Linked DNA regions of Drosophila melanogaster. Changing the gene in region 3 together with the main gene of any one other region gives a genetic interaction. Each region holds a gene or a part of one and is shown on either strand. Other genes may lie near its edges.

Region 1 (7,246 bases), 1.4 Mb from region 3:
AATCTGAACGTAAGCCAATCATAATAAATTATAAGGGGACTAAAAAAGTAATTCTTAGAAACCACTGTTTTCATTTCTACATGAGATCCAAAAGTTTGCACTACATCTTTTAGTCTTTTTACCCTGAAGCCGAATAGAGGGGAATGACCCCTTTTAATTTAAGGGTGGAACGATGAACTTACCACCCTTGTTGTTGCGGATCGAGTTGTTTCGCTGCGGCAGCGGGCCACCGTTGTCCAGTCGCGAGTTGCCGTTGCTGTTGTTGTACGACGAAGCGGTGGTGGAGTAGCTAACCTGACTGCCATTACCGCCACCCGAGGTTGCCGAGGAAGAGTTATAGGTGTTGCTGCTGATGGACTGCTGCTGCTGCTGTTGCTGCTGGAGCTGTTGCTGCTGCTGCAGTGCGGCGTTCACAAAGCCGCTGGGCGAGGAGGACGTGGACTTGAAGAGATTCGCGTACGTCTTGGGCTCATTCTGCTGCTGCTTGGCGGCCTCGTACTTCTCCTGCTGCTGCTGCTCGTGAATGGTCTTGAAATCCTCGACGGGCGTGGGAGGCTTCTGCTGCCTTGGCGCCACCTCCACTTCCTCGGGCTCAGCCAGCGGTTGTTGCTGCTGTTGCAAAGGCTGCTGCTGCTGGATAGGTTGCTGCTGCTGCTGCTGCTGCGGGGGCAGCTGTGCCGGTTGCTGCTGCTGCTGCTGCTGGATGAGCTGTGGTGCCACCAGTGGCGACTGTTGGAAGCCCGCGCTTGGCACTGGAACAATGGGCAACACAGGCGTGCCGGTCGGCTGCTGCTGCTGTACCAGGGGAGACACGCTGGGTGGGACCAGCACCTGCTGCTGCTGCAGCTCCTCGTGCGACACCACACCGTTCTGGATGGGCTGTGGCGGCGGAACGGTGAACTGCGCGGGCAGTGGAACAGCAGCGGCTTGCGGAGCTGGTGGCAAAACAGCCACAGGACGTCCGGCGGCAGCACCCGCTGGCAATGGGTAGAAGATCTGCTGTGGGGCAGCACCACCGGCCGCTACAGGAGCTACCTGCTGGGGCACCACGACCTGAGCCTGTGGCTGCGGAGGAGCCTGCTGTTGCTGCGGCTGCTGGGCAACTACATCGCCGGCCACCTGCACAGCTTGATCCACAGTGCCACCGACGACCTGCACATCGTGCTCCTCATCGTTCTCCGATCGCGACTCGCCATCCTGCTCGTCCTCGATGTAGAGATCCTGATAGCGGAAGATGTCGTTGTGCACGTAGTACTTCTTCGGCGACTGAGCGGCCAGAACGAACGTCTGGGTAAAACGCCGCATCGGCTGGCCATCATTGGATAGCTCCCCGGTGACCTGAACCACCACACCGTTGCCCAAAGTGGCCTGGGCATCAACCTGGCTGATCTTCGCGTGGCAATCGTTGAAGTTCAGCTGCTGGATTCGGTTGTGGATCTCCCGCTGACCGACCACCAGCTTGGACTCTCCATGGATGTACGACGAGTTGTGGTTATAGAAGCGATGCAAGTGGTTGGGCGCCTTGTTCAACAGCGTGTAGTACTGGCGGACAAACTCGCGTCCCACAGATTGCGGCGAAGGCTGCTGCGATTGGGTCGCATCCATGACCATAGCTGGCGTTTGATTCTTCCTCTCTGAACTACGGACTCTTCGACTCGGATTCTTTGTCTCCGCTTCCAATTTCTGCTTCCCTTCTTTCTAGCTGCTGCTCGGATCTATCGACACGGTGGCTGATCTGTGTCGATTGAGAGTGTGGGAACGTCTGCGAAATAGTGCAAAAAATATACGCGCACTATGAAAATCTGTCTGGTTTTTTTAATAAAAAAAAAGAAAAGTTGGCAAAAGTCCTAGACGACTGTGTAGATTTTTCAATCTGATAATTTGAAATTAAAGGAAGCTGCTACCCTGTTTCTTACAATCTCCAAAAGGTGTTCAAAGATGGCTTATTCATACCTGTGCCGGTAAAAGTATAGAAACCATAATGAATCACTAGTTGTGTTATCAGTTAATTTCATCACGTGTAAATTTAATTTGGAGAATTAAGGCTTGATAACGGTAAAACACGCAAATATAAGAAACAAATTTAATTGGATTTTCAGACTGTCCATTAAATCAATCTGTGCTTCTTTTACATAAATTTCTAGAGAAATGTGACTGACTACCAAAGTGTTGACCCCTGCTGTGCTCTCCAATAAGGATCTAGAGTTTCGCTTGGTCACAAGGACGGCGGGGAGGGGGGGAGGTTTGTACACCCAAAACAGGGAGCTCATTTTACCGCAGTGCATATAAAACAGACGCAGCGCGCTGCAGTTTGACCCACTTTTGGGGCCCACACACATTTGCACATGCGAAAAGGGGAAATTTGGTGTAGTGCAGCTGTCAGGAAAAATTCCAATTTGCTTGCCGTCGCAGGACATTTAACCCTGCACGTGCTCCAGCTTTTATGCCTGCGATCCTGGCTGACTGAACTTTGCACGTGTGTGTGTGTGCGCGAGTAAATGACCTCATACAATTTGGCAAAGAAAAAAAAGAAGCCGCCAAGCGAGGAGCATGAATTAAATTGAGGTTATGTTCGGGTCTCAAGGTTGTGGCGCCGCATACAATGAACTCCAGCTTGGCCAAAATATCAAATTGCTGCCTTGCAAAAACACTTGAAATAGCGTTAAAAGGTGTAAGTAAATATCAATGTTTGCAGGTGTCCTTTGCCCCATTTTAGCCATAAACATTTGCCGATAAAACAAAAAATGCACAATGAGTTGCGGCAAACCCACACGCACACATATTCGGTTATGAACGCGCCGCTCTTTCGGGTTCTCTCTTTCCCACTCTATTTCTGCTTGCGAACCGCGTGTGTAGGAAGAACAAAGAAAGCTATAGTTGAAGAGCAGCATTTAAACAAAAATGTACAAAAACAAAATTTTTCGTACATTTTTAGGTTATGCACAAGCGATAATAAAAAAAGCCGCTAAAATGGTAAAAAAAAAAATTTAAGAGATAGAGCCCTGCCGCAATAATAAAATATACGCCCATTTAGCATTTTTTATGTTGATTTTTTCCTAGTATGCGCCACCCCTTTGAAAATGGAAAATGCTAGTTTTTCTAGACCGCGCACACGAGGCCGTCGCCGGCTCACCTTTTTTAAGCGATATTTTTCCTCGTTTTTATTTTTCCTTTTTGTAATGCACAGTGTGTATTGCTTTTGGGTTGAAGTTTGCCGAAAAATCGGCACTTTTTGTAGCACTTTTCTTTGTTATCTTCCTGCGGGGGGCGGGGAGAGTTGGATTTCTTAGTGGAGCGCTGAAATTATGCGGTTTTTTTAATTTACAAAACGATAGTCGAAACGTATGAAATGCAGTATAAAATTGCAAGCTGCACACAAAACACACAGCCACACACACCAATGCACTCACTCGCTCACACACACACACTAGTCTAGTTTGTTGCAATTCTTTTTGTCTTTTTTTTTGAGAATAACTAACTTGGCAATTCTTGACGTGTATTTTTTGTTGCTTTCTGATGTTTGGCGATCACAGTTGTTGTTGAATTAAGTTACGATGCATATGTTGTGGCTTTTGAGTAGAAAATAATCGCAAACGCAATGAAATTGGACAAGTGTGTTGAATCGAGAAGAGAACCGACGTTCGTTCCTCTTTTCCTCTTTTTTGCCTCTGCACAGTTTTATTCTTGGTTTCGCGTGTGTTGGTGTGTGAATGATGGCGGCTTTTCCAAGGGTGTGCACACACTTCTTTTTTTGGGGTGGTTAATCTAGTATGTTCCATAGAATATTTTGATGAATTTGATATTTTCATATTTGAGCTCAATTAAGCTCATTTTAGGGGCGCTAAGTTTCTTTTAAATAGTTTTATAAAACTTATTTTCATTTTAGCCATTTCCGATTTTTTGAGTAAGCTCATGAAACACCTTTCTTTAAAGGAAACATTTTATATAGCAAATAAATAAAAACCATAATAACGTTATATTATAACCTGTTGGGAAATCCGAATATGAAAATTGTATAAATTTTTGCAAAAAATAAAAATATTTAATATAAACCAATTAAATGATTTAAAATATTGTTGATGTTTCAGCCTATAAGAAGTTAATATGAAAATTCGATTTTAAACAATTCTTTGTATGTAAATGTTGTTTTCGTTCCCAACACATAGTAAATAATGAACATTGTATTTTTTATATTTATAAAATTATAAATGTTTATGAAATACTTAATATTTATTTAAATATTTAAACCTTTAATACAACTAAAATGAATTTATAAACCAAGTAACTTGTCCATTGTGTAAACTGGGCTTTAAAATATTTGTATAAAATTTTTGGTATTCTTTTCATTTTCTCTTCATAGGTGTGTGTACATTGTATAAATCAAAGCTGCCATACTGCAAGCAGACAAGTCACGCGCCCATTTAGCTCCTTATATAGGCTTATTTGGGGTGGTATCGTACAGAAAATCCCAATTTAATCCTTGGCAAATGTATAGCTAACAATCTCCAGGTAGAGCAAGCAAATACAATACAAATATTTACCAAAATAATACCAAATCGACTTGACTGGGAAAACATCAAGGTGGCAACGCCGCACCCATATACACACGCTGTCGTTTGCATTTATCATTTTCCGGTCGTCATTTCATTCGTACGCGCGACTTTTTGGCGAGTGTGTATAAAAATCTCCGGCTCTGCGTAAAAAACGAATATCGTGCTGCCTAGCCCCCGAAATTAGTAGATCAGTCGAAAACACACAAAATGGCCGAGAACAAGCAAGTGGATACAGAAATAAACGGCGAGGATTTCACCAAGGACGTGACTGCCGACGGTCCGGGATCTGAAAATGGTGATGCGGGCGCCGCCGGCTCGACCAACGGCAGTTCGGACAACCAATCGGCCGCATCCGGCCAGCGGGACGACGACAGGTATGTCCATTATCCGGCGGATACGTTTTTTTTTTGTTCTTTTTTATTTTTGCAACGGGCAACCGATGATCATGTGCCCCCCATAGATTTTCTGCTTCTACATAGTGTATATTGCCTACTCTGTTACGTAAATGCAAAGCTAACGTCGTTGGTCGAGTTTCATTGGATTTTACGGGGTTCTGCGGGGGAAGTCTGACCCCTTTTGTGTTCTCTCTCGCTTGCGCTCGTGCGTCGGAGTGTGTTTAAGTGTGTGTGTGTGAGGTGTCGGTGCGACTGTACTTCAGTCATATTAATAGAATCTTCGGGCCAAAATGCATCATCACAGTCTCGGGAGACATGGAAAATTTTCAACGTTTTCCCCTGCACACACACGCACTTTCCGCAATGAAAACCAGAGTTTTCTTAAGCTAGGAGCACATTTTCTCCCCTTTGTGAGGTTATGTTTGTTTCCCACGTTGCCCCACAGACACACTGTGACGCATACGAACACAAATCATACGGTTGCCTTTCACTTGCAAAAAATGTGGCGAAAAAAAACGTTGGAAAAAGTTATGTTTGTATTTGTCAGTGTATTCTTTTTAATTCGCATTACTCTTTGTTTCGGCTATTTCGTTGTTATTTTGTGCTCTTCCAGTTTTGTACCCAAAATGGCGGCTGCATACAGGCATACATACCAACCTAACGCCCGCTGTTCTGTAGGTGTGTGCGTGTTTTGCAGTTTTCACTTATTCTCTTGCTTGCCGGCTTCGCTCGCTCGCCACCTCTTTTGCGCGCTCTTACTCTCAGAGAGCGACAGCCGGCGTTGTTTGGAGTTGCCAAGGCGCCAAAATATTAATTTAACGAACAATTAATGTAAATTATAAATGATAAATAATTTTGATGGATTAAAGCATAGAGATAATGATGATCAAGTAGAATGGTCCTCTTGTTTGCTCCCCTGCGTTTTGGTTTTTAGGTCTAGCGTACACTTCATTTGCCCATCCTTTATGATCATTTTATATCTAAGTTTAATCTTAAGTCACACGATACTGTACATTTAAACGATAATACGAAACCAGCGCTGACGAAGCAGATGCAGATTATTCCCCGTAAAGGAAGAAGGACGAAATGGAGAAATTAAATCGAAAATCATAGCTTATCCTGTTGTCTTGTGAGCGAACTAACCTTGTTCCTCTCCGGCAGGTTTTGAGAGAAGTGAAATGCCCCAGGTCAGGGTTTTAAGCTATGCTCAAGACGGATATGGATTCGGATATGGATTTGGATTCGTATTCCTGCCCCCGGCAAACGGTTACGGATTCGGATTCGGATTCGGCGGACTTATACTTGGAGGATATGCAACCCTCTCCACACTCCAGTCTCCAAAAGTCTCCGCTCCGCCGATACTGATGCTGATGGTATTTATCTATCCAAAACTAAAACAAACAAACAATCAGTCAGTCAGCCAATATATAGAACTATCAACACACAAAATTATCAAGAAATAATCTCGATTTAAAATTGGATCCATATGTAAACTGTATACGAGTATATATTGTATTGTATCTCTTAACGTATAACTTGTAAATTACCTAAAAAAAAAAGAAAAACAAAAAAGTACCAAGTAATCGGAGACAGAGAGAGACCGAGTGAAAAAGAGACTCGCAGTTTTTTCGTTTTGTTTTATGAAGCTCAAAAACTATACATTATATATCGCCCGAAGAAAGAAACACAATGAACGAATGTAACGTAACGAATTGCCACAAAAAAGAAGCACAAATCACTAAATTGCAATCGAAATTCCGCCGCCGTGTGATGAGACTGTTCCAAATTTGCCGGGAATCCGCCGAGAACGATGAGATATCTTTCCAAAAAGTCCAGAAATCAATGAGTAACGTACACATCATAGTAAACTATAAGTGTCTGCATATTTTTTCAACATTCCTTTTTATAAAAAAAAAAAAATATAAAATAAAATAAACAGCCAAATAAAGAAAGTAAAACTAACCACAATCCAGCATAAAAACCTTTGCATTCTTTTCTCTCATCCTATTGAATAAAGACTAATTGTTAATTGTTATTTGTACAGACAAAGACTCTTAAGCATACCCAAAACAAAAACTTAATAATTCACTCTTGCATATCTTATATATACTATATATCTATATCTTTCGCTCGTTTTGTGTCTCTCGATCGATCGCTCGCTCGCTCCTCGAACTCTTTCGCTCATTCCGAGTTTGCAAGTATTTTGACACTATCCGATCAATTCTTTGATTGCAATACAGTAACTAAAGCAATTTTTCACTTCAAATTTGGTGAGTTTTTTTTATTCGTTTTGTATTC
Region 2 (9,460 bases), on a different chromosome or scaffold from region 3:
ATCGATATTTAGAATAATATTTATTTTAAATAAACGATTTCCTTAAGTACGTTTCTCACGGTGCATCACTAACCTTAGACAAGTCTACACTTTTTTGGCAAGACCGCACATCCTTGGACGGGCTAAAAATGTCGCACAGCACTCAATGATTTAATCTCTGACTGACAGAACGTAGAACGTGCCGTGTGGCAAGCCGCTCGAAGCTGCCTCAACCTTGACCGTCATTCGTAGGCGGCAGAGTGGCGAGAATCGCGAGGCGTAAGCTCTTCGCACGGCCATCGGGCGTATACGCGATTTCCGGAAACTGCACGCTCTCTCCGTCTCCTTCGACGTGGCGGCAAGTCATCTTCAAGTTCAGAAGGCACGATGAATTTTATTTATAAATAAAAGTAACCTTAGTCGCCGTCTCAATAAGGCGTACTTGAAGTGCGCGTAGAAATTTCCGCACCACATTATTAACGTTGCCAGTCATGTCGGCGAAACCACAATTGCCAGCCAGCCAGCCAGCCAGCCAGCCAGCCACTCAGTCATCAGTTCGTGTATTGATGAAATGCCATATTGTAAGCCAAAATAAGTATACGCACCGCTGTCTCAGTTGCATAAACAACAACAACAACGACGATGCTGACCTCCACACGTTCGTTCTCACTACGCAATTGCCTAAATCAAATAAATACGCTAGAGCATCAGAAATCAACAATTACACATCGGACTTTCGCACGCAAGGCGAAAACTAATGATATATGTATGTATTTAAGAGCATGTCGTTCGTTGGTTCTGGAATATCTTAAAATGGATTTCTAATGTGATGAATTTTCTTAGCTTTTCTATTAGTTAACTTATTAGCAAATATATTGCAGAAAATTTTTAAGTAAAACATAGTAATTTTAGTTAATTTAACAATTAACAATTTAATTTCTCGTACTTCATATTTTATGTTAAATATTGAAGAGAAATATTTTCTGTAGGAAAATTTTCTGCAGTTCTACATTTTGATTTTGGCGCCACAAGACAGAAAAATTAGAGCATACTTTTTGGCGCCGTGAAGAAAACAAGTTGGCAGCCCCAATTTAGTAACGAGAAAAAGTGCATACTTTTCAACGTAAAAATTTAATTGGATGAGTAACATTTGGCGGGAAATGTAAAATTAATTTGGTTTTCATAAAGATCACTCCTTATTCCTCGGAATAAATAGAAAATTCATACCACCCGTACATTTAAATATAAAAACATTCATTTATATACTGATTGCTTTTGTGCTATTTTTATTTCGCATGTTATTTTGAAATACTTTTGTCTTTTGGAGCAAACAAACAAATTCAACTACATTGGCTCGAGGGGATTCTCTTTTTTGTTTTTTTTTTTGGGTAAGTCAGGGATTTGCCTACGACTAATATGTATATTTTAAATATAGCTTTCCACATCCGTTAACTTAACATTCTTAGGTCTTTTGTTGTTTGTTTTGTGTGTGTGTGTTTTTTTTTGTCCGCTAATTAATTAAGGTATTTGACTAACAATTAAAATGTAATCGAGGTACTATTAACTTAGACATTTGCTAATGCTCATAATTTGCGTATTGTGCATGCAATTTGACTATTTTGTGTGCGGGGCATCAATTGGACCCATCGTTTTTAGACGAGGCTAATGCTAAGGCCCATTGGTAATCGCAGGCCAGCGAGTTGGATTGAAGCTTGGTGGGAATTTTGGTGGCTGTTTCCTTGTTTGTGGTGGCTCTGCGGTTCCAGTGGCGCTTCCGCCTCCTGCACCACTTCCAGTTCCGCTCGGCCATCCACTTCTTCCTCCTCCTCCAGCTCCAGCTCCATTTCTTGTGCCTGCTGGTTTTCCTTGTTCTCCTCGTGGGTAACCTGATAGCGGGCAGTTGGCAGGACTTCGGATATGGCGGTATCGAATTCCAGCAGTATCTCATCATCATCGAGGTCCCGCGTCCAGCGCGGCGCCTCTTTGAGCGGACTCATGATCTGCGGGAGTTTCGAGCAGGCGGGGTTTGATTCTGCTGAATATGCGGCGGGTTCTTCCCGACTGAGTGTGGTTCCCAGTCGACGGAACATGGCCACTACTTTGCCATCCACACTGGGCTGCGGGAATCTTTGGTAAGTGGGCGTGGATTGTGTATTGAGCACTGGTGTGGGTGTAGCTGTAGCTGCCACATCCTTAACCAGTCGCTCCACTGGTTTCCGGCGCGGCGCCACACACTCCACCTTGCAGATCGCATTGCTCCTCTTCTGGCCCTGCGGCCTAAGACAGACGAACACCGACTGCTGATTGCGCTTCTTGGGACTCCGCCGCAGACTCTCCACACAACACTGGCGCAGCACTCGGCTCATCCGGCTGACGGAGGCACTGCGTCTGCTGGCTCTTCGCTTCGAATAGACTATGGGTGCGGGTGTGGGATTAATTGGAACTTGGGGCTGCAGTTGGGGCTGCGATTGGGGCTGCACTCGCACCGTGGGTCGAACCATCGCCACCGGACGGAGCTTCGTCCTTTCCTGCTGCAGCACACTGTTGCCCATGTGCGAGGGACTTTGGCTCTGGCTTTCGGCCTCATTGCTGTTGACCGCCTGCAGGGAGTGCCAGTTGATCAGCCAGTTGTTGCAGCTAAAGCAGAGGAATTTGTCCTCGTTCAGGGGCTGAAAGTAGAGATATATAGGGAATAGATGAGTACGGGTAGTAGAAGTAGTTTTATCTAGACTATAAAGTTATTGCTAATCATAATATACTAATCATAACTATTCAAACTCATTTGGTCCTTCAATTAATTTAATGGCTGAGTAATAACCCATTTTATAAATTGCTTACTGCCTTAGACTGATATGTAGCATTCCAAGTAAAGGATAAAAAGCCATTAGAAAGAACCGAAGGCGGTTACATTGTAACTTGCAGAGCCACGAAGGCCAATCATTTATTGATTATAGCCATGAAACCGTTAAGGTCATCAGGAACCAACCTTAGAATGAAAATTGACCCAAATCCGATTGCGTGACTCGCAATCTGAAGCCAGGCATAACCCACAGAATAAACCTCTAGAAAATTACGATACGCCTATGCACTTAGTGATCGCTCGCGACACCCGACCACTACCACCACCACTACCACTAATGAGCATCCAGCCAGAGGTGCAAAAAAAAAAAAAAGACCATAACAATTCCGAAAAACAACTGCCAGACGACCCGGGCATATTAATTACCCAGCCAGACCTCAGCATTCCTCGGGTATCAATAATTTCGTGCACCTGCCAGCAAAAACTAAGCGCCCAGCGGTAGCAGCTGGCCCAAAAGGTACGGAAAACCAGTAACCAGTAACAAGCCAAAGGGACATTCGCTACTTAGTTCGAGCCTCGAAGGAAACTCGTTTTCGGCCAAGAGCCACGCGCCCTATCCATATATATAAAAAAAAAAAACACATAATGCCGAAGTGGAACCGAAGCGGGAACTGGGTTAAAACCCCAACTATGACGACCATTAGGCACGCGCATGCGCGACAGCTGCGCCGAGAAATTAGATAAAGGTGATCGGTACGAGGGTCGGGGAACCGAAAGGATCGACCAGGATGGCGATAGAGGAGGAGGAGGTGTGCAGGGTAGAAAGGATCAGGAGCGATTGTGGCTGGCTGTTTACCTTTGGGTTCGGCGCTGAAAAGGTGTGCTCCAAGGGCCATGTGTAAACGGTATAATAATGCAAATTGCAGGCCAGGTGCAAAGCAGACAGAAAGCCACACAAACACACACACACACACGCACACGCACGCACGCCGATCGCAGATGCACTGCGAGAAAAAGGTGTGCACTCCTAAGATCAGTTAAATATGGGCACATGAAAAATATGTTTAAAAGTACTTCTATTAGTTTGAAAACAACTCTTCGTGCTTCTGTTAATATAGCTGCATATTTACTCAATTTGTAATGTTCCTTTTTTCTAAGTGCATAAGAGTGGGAGGTGGGGGGGCGCAGTCTGATAAGGTAATTGCAACTGGACTTTATGGCACTGTCATTCAGAACTCGAGCTTATAGAGAACCCGGCGAGGGTGTTGTTCCTGTGGGGGAGATCGGTTGCCAGGCTACGATCACGGCAGGTGGTGTATGCCCACCGTATAGGGTTTCGCAAAAACGGTTCAAACGAAATTCTAACGACGTCCGGAGGGGGTGAATATATATATATTCTATGTGCATAGAGGGTGAGCTTCTAGTGTCTGATATTGCGGGGTTAGCTGAGGGTTTTTGTTATTATGAAATCGCATTGCGTGCGTCTCGAGCATTTCGTAATTAAATTGATTGCTATACACACAATACTAGTTAAGCACAATGCTTCAATTAATCTAAGACCGAAACATATATTCCGAAAATATGTGGAAATACAATCTACCAATATCTACCCAATATTTTAACAACCTATGTTAGCAACCACTTAATATTGTTTATGTTTTTATAGGACTTCGTTTTAAGAACTCTCATTCTGACTTTGTAATCCAATTGAACGGAAACCTTAGTAAAAACTATTTCCCAAAAATACCAAACTAAACGAAGACCTCTAAATGGAAATCTTGTCTAGCTTGGCACTTCTGGGACTTCGGCTGAAAATTCGGGCATTTGAAATCACCTTTGTAAACGCTATTCCAAGGGTAGATCCTTTGTTTGGATTTGCGCAGCTTAAGAAACCGGAATTTCTATCCAAAGATATTTGGCATTCTCCAAGGGTTCAACCACCAATGCTGCTGGGGAAAATCCCTTCGTCTCACAAACAATAAACTGTGAACTCGCATCCAGGTATCCGAGTTCAATAGTTGATATGCGAAAAAACTCACTCGAGACCATGAAGAGCTGATAAAGAAGCAGCAGCAGCAGCAGCAGAGGATCCAGAAACCCCGATGGGTTGGATTTTGAGTGCCGACCGGCAAATACAGCTGTCGTTTTGGGATATGGAAACGAAGAGAACGAACACACCGGGTTCGTTCACTGCCCGCAGAAATTGGAGCAATCTCGGCAAATCCACAGCACATCTGCCCTTTCGAGCAGGTTTATGTGTGCGCCGCCGGTACAGGTAGTCATGGGTAGTCATTTGAGTGAGGAGGAGTGCCTGTAATCCGAGACCCGAAACTCACTTCCACAGAAAAACAAGCCCAGGATCTTCAGCCAGGATCGATTTCCCTGGCCATCTTCCGCTGTCGCATTTCCCACACACACACACACCGCACTGCTCGCATATTAGAACAAGCTGTTAAAAATTATGGGAAAGGAATCGAACTAAGTGGCGGCTCTGTGGCACTGGCACATATGCAAAGTGTCCAATTACCAAAGGTTGTCGGGGAAATGCATCATCTGCTCGGCGACAGGATATGCAGTTTAAAGGGCACAGGAAAAGGTGGGCATACCACAAAACTAATAGGGATAAAGGATTTTGAAATTTTCATTAAGAAAGTAGTTTGTGATAGAACTACTAATTCCGAGACCTTAGTTCTTTGCAAATAATCACTTAAAAATATTAGAAAACTGCGCTCGAAATCAATCATCAAATAGCTTGCCACTCTTTTTTTCCCAGTGGGCTGCTGTGAGGGAGTTACCTGTACCTGCCTATAGAAGTGCCACCCATTTTCCCATTTTCCGCCCAGCGAAGTTCATCCCCTTTTAACCCAAAAAAAAAAACACACACGGATACACGCGCAGAGGGAAAACTTTGTCCGAAGGACGTTCCTTCGTTGCATGACTCATCCGCCGAGTTGCCCCAATATCGATTTTTATACGTTCCCCGCCTAACTGAGTTTTTATTTTTTTTGCTCTAAGTTGGGAAAAATCCATACCTGAAACTTGAATTTCGCCTGGATTAGCTGAACGATATTGGGTCCGGAGCGGGGCTCGTAGATATTGATCGTCTGGTTGGTGTGGCAGCCGCAGATGAGGCAGGTGCGTTTCAGGTATTCCGAGGAGGCGGCGGGTGCGGCAACGGCCGCCGAAGGATTCGCCTGCTGCTGCTGATTGGTAGACATCCTGGCGATTTTTCCCAGCCTCTGACGTCACCAAAGGTCGCACTAACTTCTGCCGATATTCGACTTTCGCACTCGTATTGTATTTGTATTTTCACGATTTTTTGGGGTGCCGCGAAAATGTGGCAAACAACAAATGCCAAGCGGCGAACGCGTGCGACAGAGCGAGAGAGCGGGGAGAGCGAGAGCGGGACAGCGAGCTACGGAGCGGCACGTCCTTCGCGTTGCACGCACAAATTTCGAATGAGCCTTGCTTGTCCTCATCGCATTCTGGGCACCACTTTCAAAATTTGTGCCTGCGGGCTGCCACATCTGGCAAATGACATGCGAGAGTGGCGAGCGTTGTCGGATCGATGGGAAAAATAAGAGATAAAGGATAAGCTAGACACTAATGAAATAAAAGTCATGCAAAATATATCATATTTTCAAATCATATATATATTTTCAAATATAAAACAAAATTTAAAAATATTTATTTATTTTTGTATAATTTTTATACTCAAATGCAATTTTTTGGGCTCAGATTAAGCCTGGTGTTTTTGAAAAATGAAAACATGTACCATATAACCCAATATTGCAGTGAGAGAAAAAGCAACCATAAGGGTGACATAGCCGAAACAAAACAAACAGGCGGCATATGTTCACATTTAAGGGCGCCAAAAGGGATGTTGACTGCTAGGATGACTAGTGCGAATTCTGAAACAGGAAACGGATAACAAAAGGCAGTGCCAGTGGAAATATGCAGCAGAAGTTTGACAATTTAACCACGAATAAAATTCTGATGACTGATATACTTTTATGCCAAATAAATATTTATAAAAAATAAGGAATAACAATGTTAATGATTCTTAACCTGCTGATAAACCTTATTTTATAATTTTATTGCCTTGCAAGGCGAATTGCCAAATTCATTCAGCGATCAGAGCCTCGCAAATTTTATGAATGAATCGAAAAGCACCGACAACTGTCTCCGAATATTTTGACAACTTGACCTATCTGAACTTTCGACACTCAAGCTCGTCCCTCGCGTCCAGTCCTTTGGATTTGCTTAAGCCGCCGAAGGAATCGGTGGCAGCTGCCATTGAGCGACAAACGCCGAATTTAATGTGGACGGCCTCCTCGACGGGCACTTATCATTATGGAGGACCCGCCGGCTCAACACAGAGCCCATATCATCCGCGGCACGAATAGCTTGCAGCATGTGCGCATTGTGGGCTCATCAACAGGCTGCCGAGTGCAGAGTCTGGTGCTCCCCCCAAACCCGTCGATCCTCCGCAACGGCGACGAAGCACCGACAGCAACGGCAGCTGCTCCAAAAACAAAAAAAAAAAAAACAAAAACACAAAAGGTGCGTTTCGATTTTTCGTTTTTTACCCATTTTTATGCGGCATTCGGGCAGTTCAATCATATGTTCTCTGTGTTGTTGCTCATTTTGAGCCGGTGGTGTTGCAGCTTGCAACCGGATTTCTTCGTGGCGACAGATGTTTCTTCTCCTTTTTTCTTTCGTCCGAACCTTCTTCGTCCGCTCCTCCGATTTGCGACGATCTTCTCAGATCGCAGACACTGGGTTAACTGGCGCTGCTCGCCGCTACTTTTACTACGCATCTTCGACGATAGTAAACAATGGAGTAAGGAGCAGGGAGTAAGGAGTAGGCAGTAGGGAGTAAGGAGTAAGTATGGGGCACGGAGGTTCCAAGCGCAATCGAGGCCTCTGATGAATGAATACATGAATGGAATCAGGCGAGGGAGTTGCGTGGCGAACGAATAATGTATCCGGAACTGGACCCTCGATCGATCGATTTCCGCGACATATGCGTATCAAATTTTCATGTAGATCTCTGGGATCCCAAGAGAGGAAGTGCCCAAGGTGCCAGGATGAGATATCGAGGATAAGAATGGGATAACGAAGTTTTTTTTGGAGATTTATGGTTAAGCATTTAAATATTTATTATCAAGATCTCTATTGTGATCCTATCAATATGTTTAAACAAATGGTTTTGGTGCATTTGAAAAAATTCGGTTTTTTGTATTCCCATTTTTAAATCACTGCTCTTATTTATTTTACTTCGACTTTGACTACGCAATTAAACACTATTAAAGCTAAACTACACTACGCAAAACTAAAGGGTACCGTCTAAAAACAATTATTACGCCATTGTTTGTTTATTAATTGTACATCAAATTTTTTTAATCTCTTATGCAATTTGACTTTAAGAGGAAATATATTTATTTTAAACATACCGTTGCCTTTAAGTGTCACACCAGCGACATCTATGGAGTCACAGCGCCAGTCGCTACCAAACAGTTTTCAAGAAATTACTGTAGGTGGCGCCTAACATTCAAAGCAAGGCGAATTGCGGCGGCGAAAAATGAATTCAATCGGTCTAGCATAATTTTGGTCAGTAATTGAATTTCTTTTGTTCGCATTCAGCGAAAACCATCCACAAGATCTATTATTTAGAATCCTGAATATCCAATAAATATTGAAATATGTAAAAGATATATCGTTGTAAGCGATTAAATATATTTTAATGTTATATCCAATACAATAGTATTACTAATTCATCTTCATCAAAATATATAATTCGTTCAGCTGTCTTACTATTTCTGTACTATGTGCAATAATATACCTTTATATGCTTCCAAGTTCTTAAAATGTAATGTAAAAAAAAAATGAAAAAAATATGTAAAAACACCACTCCAGTGGTGAGTGCACTCACAATTTGCCAACAAATAATCCGCTTGGGAAAATAAGTTTTATTTTCCAATTTTGAGGTTTAATGTATACCACTAATTTCCAAGAATTTTTCTAAACAATTTAGTAATATGTGCAACGTTAAGTCCCCATATGAAAACGTATACTTTAAACAACAAACGGCGAAGTAACAAAAGATATATAAATATATAACATAAGAACATAAGAACGATTTCAAGGTCACAGTTTGATCTCTAACTAAAACAGAATTTAAATTCATTCTCTAACACATTCTGGATTCACAGTTGGTTTATCTTACTTTGTCTTTAGCACAACTTTAAATCATTCCTTAATTCATTCCATACCAATCTTTGCCTTTAATGAGTCTCACCACATCACCTTTCGTATCCCAAGCGTGTGGTACTCCTGAAATATGGATGAGTGGATGGCACAACAAAGGATCCATTGCCCATGTCGTCGTCACCCGCTGCCAAAGCACTAGAATTTCTGCTTCTGGACACGTTTCTCACGGTGCACCAAGGAGCTGAGCGGTGTGCGTTGGTTATCCCGCTGCTGAGAAACCAAGTGGAAACTGCAATTCGCAGGGCACCTTGGGAGAATCGAAATCGCCTCGAGATCGCGCCCCTTTTGATGGACCCCCCATACGCACGTGCGAAAGTCGGCTATAAAATAATTGACTTGACTTTATAATTGCAACAGGCGAGCGGGGAGGGCAACAAAATAGAAGAATCTATCACACTGTGAGCAGTC
Region 3 (7,025 bases):
AACAAGCTGGAAAATGTCGGGATTATTTATGCTGCCCCAAGTTGACAATCTGTGGCTGGCGGCTGCACTTCACACACATTATTTGTGGCAGCTAATGGGCTCGGCTGGCGCTTAACAATTAGTTGGGATGGCAATTTTTTACAGCTCTTTATGATCACCCCCCACCATCACTCTTGTGGTCCTGCTCTGCTTACCCGATGTTTGTTTTAATTAATTGCATGCCAGGTACTTGGTACTTAGTGGTGCTGGCAATTTTTCGCAAAATTTATTTGTCATTGTCATGTGCGCGGTGCGCCACTAAGTTATGCTAATTCCCATTTTGACATGGGTGCTGAGATAGTTTTCTTGTCGAAATTGGAAATTCAATTGGGTTCCTAGAAATGGTGGCAGTAATATTTTGTGCAAGCTTGCCGTTGTTTGTGCTGCAGCACTAATTGATGGCTGTGCAACTAGCCGAGAGATACGGGAAATCTGAGCTTTTCGGCCACACTAATAGCCATGACAAATAGCCAAATTAATAGGTGATACAGGGGGCGGGGGCAGAACGTAAAGGGATCTTGCCACATTAGAGCCATGCACTCATCATTAATATTATCGAGGCACTTTTATCAGCGCACATTTTTCAGTCGGCACTAAACCGTGACTTTTCCAGTTGGCTAAAGGTTATGGCTGCCATTCGCTTCGGCCTGCCGATGATGAGCTCAAGACTTTTGGCCGCTCGTCCTCCCAATTTCACCAACAGCTGGGCGCGAAATCAAACAAGTTGCCACCACAATGAGAGGACATGGGCAGGAGGATCTTCTGTTCAGCAGGATGGCAAGCATGATGAAGGGGGAAGGGGAATGAGAAGCGGACAACACGCATAAGCTACAATTAATCTTGCAGCTACGAGTACCGCGACTGGCGGGGTGTCTTGGCATAAATTCACATACCTATACCCATACCTATAGCTAGCCGTGTGCCCTGAAACCTGGAAACTGGACATACGGATAGACATACGGACAGAAGGGACCTCCAGACAGACGGACAAGTGAGCACACACACACACGGACACACACGAGTTTAGAGCTCAGACAGCCGAAACGAGTTGCCGCGCAACGGAGTGGTGTGGAGTGGAGTATCTTTCTTTTCTAAGAGCCACGAAAAGTATCTGCACCTCGAAGTGAATCAGCTGAAAGGACGCGACCAGGCACCAGAGTAGCAAACATAAAAAAAAAACCCTGAAAACGCCGGCAATGATATGGGCTCTATGCGCTTTATTATGATTATTCCTACGTTTTATTTCGCCAGCATTTGAGTGAAGCTAAAGCTACAGCTCTGCAGTCTGGGCGATTGCATAGAACAAAATAGATTGCTATCGTGGCAACATCATCAGGCCAACAGGCAACTACATACTATGCCACATGAAGGGATCCGGGGAAACACCTTCAGAATGCAACGAGGCGGTCACAGAGCCGCATATCTTCTGATTGTTGCTCTTGTGGGTTGCGCATGCGTACAAAATGCTCGGTGATTAATAATAATAGCAGCGCCCGCGAACGAACAGTGGGAGCCAACGGAGTGCCAAGTATCTGGGAATCTCTGGTATCATCATACCAATGGCCCACTGTGCCTCTGCCCAGTCATAGTCACTTCTTGGCTCTTAGCTGTGGCTGTGGCAGTGGCTTTGCCTGTGTGCTCCAGTGCCAGAACATTTGAAGAGATACGAGCATGACAAGTTCAACTTCAAGCTGCACTAAATGCCAGAGCGTATGCCAGATCTCCCTCTATCTCTGAATGCAGTTACCCATCTGCCCCGCCTCCCGCCTTCCATTGCCCATCTGCCACCCCTCTTTTCCGGAACTCCAGGTGAGGCTCCCCTTATCCAGAAACCCAGTGAGAGAGACAATAAGAAGGTGGGCGCTTCATTTAGCGGCCGCCGCACAATTTGCATGTTTGCACAACAATTGTTTGGCTTAGGACAAAGCACGGACCGTATTTTATTTAGATAATAATTTTTATCTGACGATAAGGCCGAGAGGCAGTGGGTGCCCAGATCGCAATATATGTATATATATATATATATGGCTATATTCAAGAGCTCTCGTGCTGCGAGCTCTAGTGTAACGGAATGATGGCCGGAGATGCAAAAGTATCTGAGTATCTGGAAAATCATCTGCCAGAACAGGGATTTTTTTTTAGATACTTTATCACCACTTTAGGGGCAATTGCAGCTGTAAAATTTAATTAGACACAATAATATATCAGCAAAAGACAGTAAGCTTATGCGCAAACATAAATCTCGCTGGGGTCAAACCAAACTATATTTTAGATCATAAATGTATTTTTTGCTCGTAAAAACATTTTTACATGATTTGGGGCCCCCGATCAACTAACTAGCTTTTGGGCTCCACGTAGGTTTATTGACTGCCCTGGCCCACAGATATACATTCCAGCTGCATCCCGTCAACTTTTGCATGGCCCTGGGAAGAATTCCCACTGCTCTACCATTCCGCCACACACCCACACCTGGCCGAGGGTTTATTGCCAACTCATCAAACTGCCATAACTCACCGAAACTGTCAAAAATCAGCGGCTGGCAGGCACGCTTTTGTGCTCGCTTTCTATTACGTTGGCCATTTCTGTTTGGTCATCCCCAGTTCGAATCCGAGTACGAAATCAATTGACCCCCAATTGCACCTTGGAGGTGAGATCGCTACTCAGCAATAAAAATTGCCAAGATGTGATGGTCCTCAAGATGGCACCAAATAGATACATTGACATGTATGGCATAAGCACAATTAATGTACTGGTGGAGTGGTAACATCCCTAGCTCACACATTCACTCTAACTGTTTCCCCCCCTATTTGAATATAATTTCTCGCAGTGTACTCACCTTCGCAGGTAAATTGTCCGTAGTGCTTGCCGGAACTCTTGTCGCCGCAGACGACGCACTCGATGTTCTGCTTGCTGTCGATCTGGGATCCACTGTTGCTGCTCTGCGAGTGGGAGCTATTCGCCTGGGAGCTGGGCGTGGTGCTGCCACAGCCCGTGGGCTGTCCCTTGATGCTGGTGAGCATGTCCTGGCCATGGCCCTTGATCAGGGGCAGCATGTCGGAGCCGTGTCCGGGATTGACGCCCGAACCGGAACCCGATCCGGAACCGGAGTGATGGCCACCGGCGGATCCACCATTGGCGCTGGGCAGGCTGCTGGACAGATCCTCCTTGATGCCAGGATGATGGCCGGATCCCGCCTGATTGAGGCTGGGGCAAGAGAGATCCTGCTTGATCACCGCCGACTGCTGGCTGGCCACGCTGCTCGGAGTGGTACCGCCGCCGCCCGTCGCCACGCTGCCGGTGGTGGTGCCCGGTCCGGCGGAGGCGGCGTGCAGGTGACCGCCGAGGGAGGCCGGCGGTTCGTGCCAGGCGCTGTGTGGCGGGACGCCCAGCCCCATCGAGCGGGACAGGCCGATGTCGAAGGCCGACAGCTCCGCGCCGGATTGCGGGCGCGGATTGAAGAAGCCGGGAGCCGTGGACGGGGAGGCGCACATGACGCCGCCGCCGTACACGCTCAGCGAATTGTGCGTAATAATTTTGGCGGCCGGGTCGGAACACGTGGGATAATTGCTGGAATACACTTTGTACGCACTTGGTACGGTTCACACTTTGGTTTCGATAGAGTCCTCGGCTCTAGCTTTTAACTTGTATCCTTTTATTCGTATTTGTCAGCCGCGTTATAATTCTTCTTCTTTATGTTAAAATAAATTTAATATTTTCTTTTAAGCTGCATATGCTGTTAACATTTCAGCTGGCTTCACTAATAAAACACTTGGTTTATTTTTGAATTTTTGAATTTTTTCGATGTTGCTTATTAATTTCCCGCTCGGCGCACACACGAGATATAATATCTTAAAGACTTGAAAATTTTTCAATTTCGGTATCTTTGCGTCATGCGGAGCAGCGAAATCTCAGCTGTTCTCGTAAGGCCTTTTAGAGCCTGACTGGCACAACATTCGTGGCAAAAGGTACACGACCCGACCCGACTCGACTCGACCGTTTCGACCTAACGACACATCACACAAATCTCTCTCCGCTCCCCATACTCAACTCAAACGGGCAGTGGTGCTGGTCTGCTCACTCTCGTTTAGCTGGCATTGCCTTCTAGTTGAGTGAAATCGCCGCTCTCGCTCGCTCGCGTTGGTGGGGCAAGACCTTCGACGCGTTTGGCTGGTTTGCCACCACCACTGAACCACCACCACCAGTGCACCCAGTATACCCACCACCACCACCACTGAACTGAAACAGAGTGGCTGCTCTCTCACTCAACGAAGCACACTCACTCACTCATCCAATCCAACTAGAACCCGTTTGCTCTTATTAGCTCGCTGTTGGGCGCATCTGTTAGATACTTTTACCGTTAAGGCTCTTTATCGCCGGACTTTTCGGTTTCGGGGGTCTCAACTTTTTGCCAATTTGTTTAAAATGAGTCTCCACCCCGAAAAAAGTTTTTCGGCGCTGTTTATCTTTTTGTTGGCTACTCGAATGTTTCTGCTCTGGTTGGCCAACCGCCTTAAAGTGCGTTCTACTTTGTATTTCACCAATTTCAGTGGCGCTTAAAGTCCGATTTCTTATCTGGAGGAAGAGTTTGGCGGCCATAATGCCCGTTCGCGGTTAAATGTTTGCTTTAAAGCTTCTTTTCTATTGGTTGTCAACCAAAGAACATCGAGCTTATCTCTGCTACTCATGAAGGTAGTGCGATGATAGGTGGCAGGATTGTATGTGATGCGAATAGATTACAATATGAAAAAGGTATATGATTGTAAAAAACCAAAAGAAAAACCGTTGCCATTTTTAAAATTATATAATAAAATTTATATATATAACTCATTATAGATCCAGTTGCTTTATTAGTTTTTATCGCATTGCTATTCAACAATAAATAAGCCAATATTTAAAGCGGCCCTTTATTGCTCTAAGCAATCAATAAATAGCTAACAGACTTGCTTTTATATGAATTTTATGTGATTAAATAAATGGGATATACTCAGCTATTGAAAAGTTGTCATTAAAATGTCTGTCAAGAAGCACGTGTTGCAGAGAATATTTATAAAATTTGCATTGCTTCCAGATACCGATTCATAAAATGTGAAGAGCAGTGGCACTCGATACTGACCCCAATGTCGCGCAACGAAAACGCATCGTATTATTAACGCTCAATATACCCGGGGACTGCCCCTAAATGAAAGTTTAGCAGCCGTCGTGGCCAAGTGAAGCCCACTGACTGTCGTAATATAATTATAATAATTTCCCTTGGCTAATTGGATCAGTGCACTGCAGTCCCTGGGCTCCTCGACTTGTACTTTGTTGACTTTGTTTACGTGTCTGGTGGAAATGTGGTTGGGGAAGTGCCAAAACATGAAATCATAACGATAATTGAATTCATTCTTAACGAGGACACCTCGCGCAACCTGATATGTCCATTTGGCGACTGTTACTTCTTGGTTTTTTATTTGAAATTAGCATTTAACTACCGCCCATTTGCACGCAACTAACTTCTGGAGAGTGAAAACTTAAAGGCAATCGCTGGATGCCACGCAACACTGTTGCCACTTCGTTTTTCATTCAAAACGGGTGGTTGGGGAAATGGAAAATATTGGAAAAGTGTCGCTGGCTGCAAAGCCAAGAGTTGCAGGCCAGTCCAAAGGGCCAAATTGTGGCCACCGCACTTTGCACTTCCCCGCCCACCTCTTGCCAACGAAATGTATGAGTGGAGTGGGTGGGCGCAGGGCGTAACGGGCCACGGAGTCTGGCGCCCTCTGTCGGTGGTTATCAAGGGGGTTGGGAAGGCCATGGGAAGGCCAGAGCGAAGTGCAAACGTACAATTGGATGATGAACGATACGCCACCCCGAGTTTGCGTTTGCACTCGAATAAGAGAGAGAGAGAGCCACCTCCAATTGGACTCGGTTTCACTCAGTAGCTAGAGTTTCGTCAAGTTTTTCTTGCTCTTTCGCAGGCCACGCCCCCTTAGCCAGTATATAGCAATCTCACTCTGACCAAGAGCTCCATCTCTCTCGGCTCCACTGCCATATCATTAACTGTATCGGAATTTCGCTCGTTTGCCTTTTTTCTGCCCCATAAAGGCGGCCGAAAAGGAACAAAAAGCATTTGGCTGGCTGGGTTTTTATTAACACCGCTAGATGTCTCTCTCTGGCAGCCCCGTTTAGGGTCTAATTCAATTGGCAGCGTCTCTCTTTCTCGGGCCATATGACTTATGTGTGTGGGGTCTCTGTGGCGATGATCTCCCGATCCCCCGAACATCCTGATGGCTCCTTTTCTGTGAACCTAATCCTGTGCTCCTCGCCACCTCTTGTTAGTGTGCCTCGCACTCGCATCCATGTTGGAGGTAACCCCATCTCGAAACCCAGCCCCATCCCTAATCCTCAATCCACTGGTTACATGGACTTCTGCGGAGTTCGCGCAGTCAGCCGGCACCTCCAACCCCTGTGGGTTAAATACTGACAACCCCATTTGAGCGCCTTTTTGCACTCGCTGCCACAGAAGCCCCAGTTTGCCTCCCTCCCTCCCACCATACTACTCTTTCCCTTCCTGGTTGGCCATTTTTTGTGCTCCTCTTCTGCTTTGGACAGTTCATTGAAAGAGGATGGTCCTCGGGGGAAAAGTGGGGAGTAAAAAGTGGAAAGTGGACCCAGCTGGGCGGAAAAAGCTGTACGTGCAACTACTGTTGGCCAGATTGGAATGTGTTCCGTTCTTGTGGTGCAAATATAATATACACATGAAAATATGGCCATTTAATAGCTCAAAATCCTTTTCAGTATGAAACTTAAATAGATAAAATCATCTTTCATCTTTAAATAATAAGAAGTGCAATAATATGATCTAATTTTAAACTATTCCCTGACTTTACTCCTCGGTGTATAATTTAAATTACTTCAGAAAGTAAGATGAGAAATAGCATTTATTTTAAGTTTTTTTATGGCGTTTCTTATGGTCTGAAATATTAATAACAAATACTAGATATAAATTG
Region 4 (7,349 bases), on a different chromosome or scaffold from region 3:
GACCTGGAGTTTTTGAACAAAAGTTTGATTAGCTTCATAACTATAGTGTAGATACATATATCGAGATACTTCACCTTGTGCGCCTTGAGGGATCCATGCTCGCAGGACAGAGTGACGTCCACAAAGGAGAGATCCTCGCGCAGCTGCTGAAACACGGACGTCATCGTGTTCTGGTAGTTATTCCAGCGCAGACTGAAATACTGATGTCCTCGAACCGCTGCCATTTCGTATGGTTTTTCGTATTCGTTTCACGCCGAATCCTAGCTGAATTCCTGTTGCTCACTTTTGTTTATGCTTGTGGCGTGCTCAACACGCTGCGGAAATGTGTGTATACTCCAGTATACTGCGGGAAAAGCCGAAGAAAATCATCAATTTAATGCGGTTCACTCGAGGAGTTGCAATGGCAAATCATCAATCAATACAGAGACTTTAAGGACAACTGGCTGCATCCTCCTATCTGAGTTCTTGGCGAATTGCCGTTCCCGATGCAACTGAACCACCACCAACCACATGTTGAAGATGCCACAAAAGGAGTTGCAGCCAGTCGGTCCATTGTGTTCGAGAGCCTTACAGCGCCTTACAACGAGTTACAGGGAATAAGACGCAAAGTGGGAGGTGGCGGGCAGGGGGGTGGGGGGTGGATAAACTATGCCGAAGACAGGTAGGAGGAATAGTCAATGGCTATCAGGCTATGCAGGTCGAATTGTAAATGCCCTATGGGAAATATGGTAATTAACGATTGTAGCACCCTGAACAGCTAACATAAAAATAGTTTTTAAGTTCTTGAAGTATTAAGTTCCCTTCAACTCTCTATTTTGATAACTCTATAAGAATAATAAAACTAAAAACGTTTTCATTCAAGTTCGTATGAATTGAAGAACAATTTTTAATTACTTTTGAACCGAGACTTTAGCACTTTCAAGAGATTTAGATCACAATATGCTAATGCATTTGAAGTCCTGATTTTCAAAACAAACTTATTAGTTTCTATCCCTAGAAGGTTTTCTGTAGCAGCCTATTTAACTTAAGTTTAACCCACCAAAAACAATTTAGTATGCTTTCCCAATCTGTTTAGAGTAAAAATAATCCAATGAATATGATTACCGAAGAGAATCAAAATTACTTGTATATGAATGAACATTCCATTCAAGCTAATTTATTTTGTTTTATTTTCGAACATAAGTTACCTTTTTTTTTAAAGCTTATGAGCTCAACGAATAGTTACTATTTTAACTTTATTTAGTGCTGGTCATGTCGCGTGGTTTTTAGCACCGCCGGAATGGTTTTGTTTTGCACATTTTCATGTAAAATGTTGGGCCAGGCCAGAAGGAAGAAAACCGAAACTGAAACCAGTTTTCAGTGAAACTTCATTTTTGTATGCCCTTTTAAAAGGGTATCATAGTATGGTCACATGTTTACAACAAAATAAATGGTATTTTCAAATAAAACGCTCTTTTTACACTACATTTTTCCATTTACTACTAGTTTTTAAATTAATTAACATTCAAACAAAATCCCCAAGTAGCAGTTAGAGTATCTGAAATCAGTGTTTTTCGGATTAAATTCCCTTTCTCGTTTTCAATGGCACGTATTGGTGCCTGCAAGTTGTTTTTGCTAGTTGGGGCATTGTCAAAAAAAAAAAGGAAGGAACATAAAAAAGAATAATAGGAATGCTGAAAGGATGCTCGAGGAGGCAACTTGCCGTGCAAATAAAATGGGAGGCAATGGAGCGACGAAGAGGCGGACAGAGAGGAGATGCCAACTTTTGCTTGCAACTTCCAATGCGGAGGCTAAAATGCAACCACAATTTTATGCCGAACAATAAGTCAGATTTTCAAGGGATTTCTTTATTACAAAGTTACAGTTGCCACAGTGGATACTCAAAGAGATGTTTTTGATTTGATTTATTCGAAATCTATCTTTGTTTACAAATTTCGAAGTCAAATTAAGAAAAATAATAAGAAAATTTATAGTTGCATTTTCCAAACTTGTTTTATTTTAAATTATTTGCATTTATTGTATATGTAAAAGTTTACGAGCTTAAGGCTGCTCCACTGTATTTGCATTTCATTTCGCAGAAGACTCGCAATCAAAACAAAACGGCGGCAAGAAAAGGTGTGAAAGAAAGAGGAAGACTAGGTGTTGCCACCCACTCGAAAATCGGCGGGCCTCTCAGCCGCGCTCTCTCCATGTCTCTCTCTTCGTTTCGGACAGAGAGACTTATCATTAAACGCGCATTATGCGGTCCGTTCGTCCGCGTTGTTACTGCTCTTCTTCTTACATTACTAGACCAATTCCACGTTTTTTTTTTTTTATATTGTTCGTCCCATTGTTGCCTTCTCGCTCACACACACACATGCAGCGATTTGCCGCCTTTTGGAGCCTCTTCTTCTGCATTTTCCCCGTCTTTCTCTTACTTTGTGCATGTTTATTTGGCAAATGGATAATGTGTGTTCGTGTTTTTTGTATGTTTGTGCTATTGCTTTTTCACTTTTTCTTGCCCTTTAATATTTCCTCACTGCACTTTATGTTTCTACACCCTACCCGACCTACGGACGGCCTATTGATTCTTATAAGATCTACATTGATGATTGTAACATCACTGCATAAGGCAATGTAAATCTTTATATAAAATGATAAGTACGTATAATTTAGAACTTAAATAAAATAAATTTATTCGTATTAATTATATATGAATGCTTTTAACAACCTTCATCTCCTACAAAAAGTAAGTGCTATACTTTTGGTTTATTTTATTAGCAATCTTGCACTTTGTACTAAATATTTATTGGATTTTGGATTGGATTTTGAGTTTTTTTTTAGCCGGCTAGAAATGTTTATTTTTGCTAGTTTTGCTTGACTTAATAAGAATAACAAGAGTTTCTGTTGCAGAATAATGAAATACCCACCCCACTGTGTCGACTGTGACCACTATCAAACCCTTTTGTACCCACTGTGGCATTCCAGGCAAACCAACTTCGTTTTCGTTACGTCTCCTCTTCACCCGTGCATGGTGTGCATGCGAGCGAGCGAGACGGCAATGTTGCGGGGAGAGAGAGAAGAAGGGGACAACGTAAAGTAGAAGAAGAAGAAGAAGAGGGGGGGAGGCAAAGGCGCAAGACAAATGACAGCGCGCTACGAAATGAGTGAGTGGGTGAAGGAGAGGCGAAAGAAAATGGATTTTAAACATTTTTGTTTTGATTATTATTGTTCTTGTTCGTCGCAAAACTTTGCAAAGTAAAAGGGGCAAAGGGAGCGCAAAAGCGGAGAACACAGTGAGAGAGAGAGTGAGAGGGAGCAAGAGTTGGTGAGCGGTGTAATGCAAATGTAATGCTGAACAATTACATTTGCCAATTGAAGCCAATTGAAAGGTTTGCAGTATTTTGTTGCTTCTTTCTTTTGCCCATTTATTTGCACCCATTTTACTGCACTCTGCAAACAACAAATATGTTCGGCTCTTATTTTTAGTTTAGTTTGTGGGGCCTCTGTCCTTACCTTTTCGCTATTTATATTTGATTTTCGCTGCTGCTGCAATTTGCCGCCTGCCTTTTTGCATAATAATAGAGGAAATACGTCAAAGAGTTCCCGTTACGTTGCGTATTTGTTGTTGCTTCTAGTTTATTTTTTTGTATCGTACTGTATGCGTATTTACCGCCAGTTTTGTGTTGTTGTTTTTGCTGCCGCTTGTCGTGTGTTTTTGTTGCTTCTGCTGTTTTTCGTTTGTTGGCCTTTTTGCTTTTCTTTTTTTTAAATCAATTATTGTATGGTTTTTTATTTTTATTTCTCGCTACGCCTTCTGCTTCTACGCTCGCTCACTAACACACGCGCGCACGCACCACACGTACACACACACACACGCATTGCGATTGGTTTTTCATAATTCGCAAAGCAAGAAACTTAAATTTGATTCTATTTGATTTTACTGGGCTGGCACGCTATCGCTACATATTTCTTGCCATTTGGCTAACCATTTGCATTGGCGCCGCACTTTGACCGCTTCATAATGGGCCGATTAAATTTCTCAACCGCGCTTTTCCGCACTCTTTTTCGCGCACGCACCGAATTTCGCTGGCAAAACGGAATTTAAAATAATAATTATTTTTTCAGCTCGTCGTTCATCGGAGTGCTCGTGTTCGCCATTTTCGTGTGGCGCTGCCAGATCGCCGCAAGGTGCTAAAATGTAGCAAAAGGTGCTCAAAGGCTGAAAACTACTTGGGTAGTGTTTCCAAATAGTAGATAACTTGCTTTAAAATTGAGTGAGAACTCATTTGGATTTTCTATTGTGTAAAAAACTGTATTATTTATGCAACTACTTATTAGTTTCTAACTAGGTGGCATCGCCTTATCGGGTCTTCTTTGCTTCGCCGCTCGATTCAGCTGGTCGTCCCGCTTGCACCTATTGCATTTCCTATATTGATTTTTTTGCTACGGACTTTGATATGGGCGCGCAGAAACTGAAAATTCAAAAAATTAAATATTACAAAATGTACGTTAATAAAATGATGTATCTTCATACATTTAATCAGTTCTTTTATAATGTGAAATCCATAAGTGCTTCCAGGATTAAATGAGTTTTTTTGCTTGTAGAATTATTTTATTTATAAATATAATGCTTTAAAATTGAAAGTTGGAGGTTTTCCGTAATACCAATAAAAACATAATATATAAAATGCTTTAGAAGTATTGAAATATACATTTATTTCAAGCATTTATTATTATTTATTGAGTTTGTAAAAGGATTTCTTACATGTAATATACATTTCAGAGCTGCCACCTAGTTGCGCAGCGAGCCCAGCGAAAGCTGGTTGCTATGAAAATATCGACTGTCATTATATATTATCGATATGTTGGCGCCCACTCAGTTCAAATTCGAATGCAATAGTCCCATAAAACTCGATCATTACACTGAATTTTAGAAACTCGTTTAATGCTCGTGTGCGTGCAAGTCATGATTGCTAAAATGCCAGAAACTCTATGTATTTATAATGAGCAAATAAATATTCGCCACCAACAGTGCTCGTATTTGCATAATGAAGGCGAAACCATTCAAATGAGTTGCACTTTTTCCGCTGTCTCAATTTGTATAAATATGTGCGAGTGGGTGGGAGTCGCCTAGCCCCCATAAAAAACCATAAAAAAAACGAAGCTAGCATACAAAACGACTGATTTGCAGCGTAAACCATATGAGTTTGTATGTACACATTTAGGTACATATCTATATATACATATAGAGATTTGCATTTGGATGCGTGGAGCCGCGGGTAAAAGCTAATAGCTAATGGAGAACTTACGTGCCAATTGACATTCATGAGTCCCAAGGCCGAATACATTAAAATAATTGCATGTTCTAGCTCCACGGCAATGGAATGGTGAATAGTGAAACACAACATCAGCAGCAAAAAAAAAAAATTAAACATACATAATTGTAGCATGATCGGATCGGGAAATAATTGCTCCGGTTTTCCCACTTTCCAGTGCGGAAAAATCAAACGAATGTGGGCCGTGGAAGGGGGGGCCTGGAAGTGGGAACCCATTGAGGTCGTTCCAGCAATTGACGTGTGCACCTATTTACCCGACGAAAAACACGCAGCTATGCTATGCCCATGTACATATGTATATAGTGTATATGCCTTATAATTATAGGCGCACATAGGCCACCGAAATACCCATCCCCCCTTTCCCCCCGCCACAAAACCCACAAACGCACCCTACTCCATTCGAAAAACCCCATTCGGCAGACCCATAAACATGCTATATGCATTTAAGCACACACATATCGCATTTGCTTAGTTACTTGCACTGCGGATTGAGTGGCGGGTGGAACTTTTCGTGTCACGAGGCTGAATCATTTGAGTTAATCGGTCAAATCTAAATATATATACTTATGCCAAAATATTATAGAATACCTTCCATATACAATTTCAAATATTTAGAATTCATTTTGCCCAAACTCTAAATCTAAATCTAAATATCTTAAATTGCACAGGAACAAAGAATTTCATAAGTTTTTAGGAAGAACTTTTAAGAGTTTCTGTGATCATTTTATTGCGGAAAAATCTCCTATAAATGGCATAAATATGAAAGTACATTGTACAAATACATAAATTAGCAAAACTTTAAATTTAAGATTATGTTCTATTTTATAAGGTAGTGTAATTAACGTGTAGAATAGCTAAAAATACAATAGGTTCATATGAATATTAAGTTGATTTTATGTTCGAATGCATTCATTGTTTTCAAAGGTTTCTTTTTTGGAGCAATTTAGATACATAGCTTTAGCTGCAAACTCAATGCTCCTATAAATATTCATATTAAAGTGGGAGTTTCAATGCTCCCCAATGTAATCCCAGTTAATCAGTATTGATTTAACATGCCCCCACCACCCACCAAAATTCCCGTTGACGTGCCATCTCTAAAAACACACACACGCACAGGTTCCACAATTAGAGAAGGACAAACAAACAAAACAAAAGATCCCCCACACCAACAAAGAGGCCACAACAACAACAACAACAACAGTAATTGGGATCGAAATGGAAACAGCGCGCTGCTCCAAAAAAAGCATAAAGCACGTAAATGGAAAATGCACAGAGTGGGGGAGCGGAGAAAGAAACCCGCTGGAGAAAGAGAACGAGAGAAAGGGGGCGAGAGAGAGAGAGAGAGCGATTGGGAGTCGGAAAATGAGAGTGAGCGCATTAGAATCGCTCTGCTGCAACAATTAATGCATATTAAGGTCAGCATTTTGCCCTTCTGCTCTGCTTTGAAAAAGAGACAAGTGTGGCCCACAGGTGGCGCCAGTGGTTCTAAATTACAACTGGCAAAAGGTGTAATATTCTAAGGTTTACACCAGAAAAACAAGAAATTTGTGTTTAAAAATCATAAACTTTATAATATTTTTACTTGTAAAAGTAATATTTATTGGCGTTCATTGAGTAAGAGGCTTTAGTTAAGGAAATGAATACTTGTAAGTTGTACTCATAACAAATAAACAAATAAATCGCAAAGACAATTGAGACATTGTTAAACAATTTTCTATAGATAACGAGTTTAAATTACAGTTAAATATAGAAGATTTGCATTTTCATGTGTATGAATTATGGGTCTGGAATGTTTTATGTAATTGATGATCAACAATATTAAACACTTTTCTATTCCTGTTAAATTCAATTGTATCTATTTCAATTTTGTAATGTTGTGAGTAAATTAAAAAAAAAATAATATGTTTTATATCATGTTAAAGTTACAAGAATAAATACATTATGTTCAATGGGAAAATCAACAGTTTTATTTTTTAAATTTTTAAGCATTTGGGTGAAAATTCGAGTTGTGAAAGATCGATGGAGCGAATA

Evidence for each region.
Region 1: of svp (region 3) and rin, changing one suppresses a phenotype caused by changing the other (phenotypic suppression), as found in Drosophila melanogaster (one study listed by BioGRID).
Region 2: of svp (region 3) and phyl, changing one suppresses a phenotype caused by changing the other (phenotypic suppression), as found in Drosophila melanogaster (one study listed by BioGRID).
Region 4: of svp (region 3) and psq, changing one suppresses a phenotype caused by changing the other (phenotypic suppression), as found in Drosophila melanogaster (one study listed by BioGRID).

Annotation. Positions count from the first base shown.
Region 1 is NT_033777.3:13,643,434-13,650,679, reverse strand, and holds the start of rin (rasputin), read right to left. Parts: upstream 3,677-7,246; 5' UTR 3,480-3,676; exon of another isoform or gene 3,411-3,479; intron 3,298-3,410; exon of another isoform or gene 3,134-3,297; intron 1,859-3,133; exon of another isoform or gene 1,763-1,858; 5' UTR 1,612-1,762; coding exon 183-1,611; intron 1-182. Other genes in the region: sqd (squid), read left to right, coding at 4,761-4,927.
Region 2 is NT_033778.4:14,426,097-14,435,556, forward strand, and holds phyl (phyllopod), read right to left. Parts: upstream 6,242-9,460; 5' UTR 5,998-6,241; coding exon 5,812-5,997; intron 2,649-5,811; coding exon 1,632-2,648; 3' UTR 1,240-1,631; downstream 1-1,239. UniProt on the Drosophila melanogaster protein: Essential adapter component of E3 ubiquitin ligase complexes; involved in R7 photoreceptor cell differentiation, embryonic nervous system, external sensory organ development and specification of particular muscles.
Region 3 is NT_033777.3:12,278,100-12,285,124, reverse strand, and holds the start of svp (seven up), read right to left. Parts: upstream 4,016-7,025; 5' UTR 3,531-4,015; coding exon 2,876-3,530; intron 1-2,875. UniProt on the Drosophila melanogaster protein: Receptor that is required in photoreceptors R1, R3, R4 and R6 during eye development; generation of the ganglion mother cell-2 (GMC-2) fate in the nb7-3 lineage, coinciding with the transition in the expression of HB to KR in the neuroblasts (NBs).
Region 4 is NT_033778.4:10,554,680-10,562,028, reverse strand, and holds the start of psq (pipsqueak), read right to left. Parts: upstream 4,142-7,349; 5' UTR 3,653-4,141; exon of another isoform or gene 3,496-3,652; intron 344-3,495; 5' UTR 225-343; coding exon 75-224; intron 4-74; coding exon 1-3.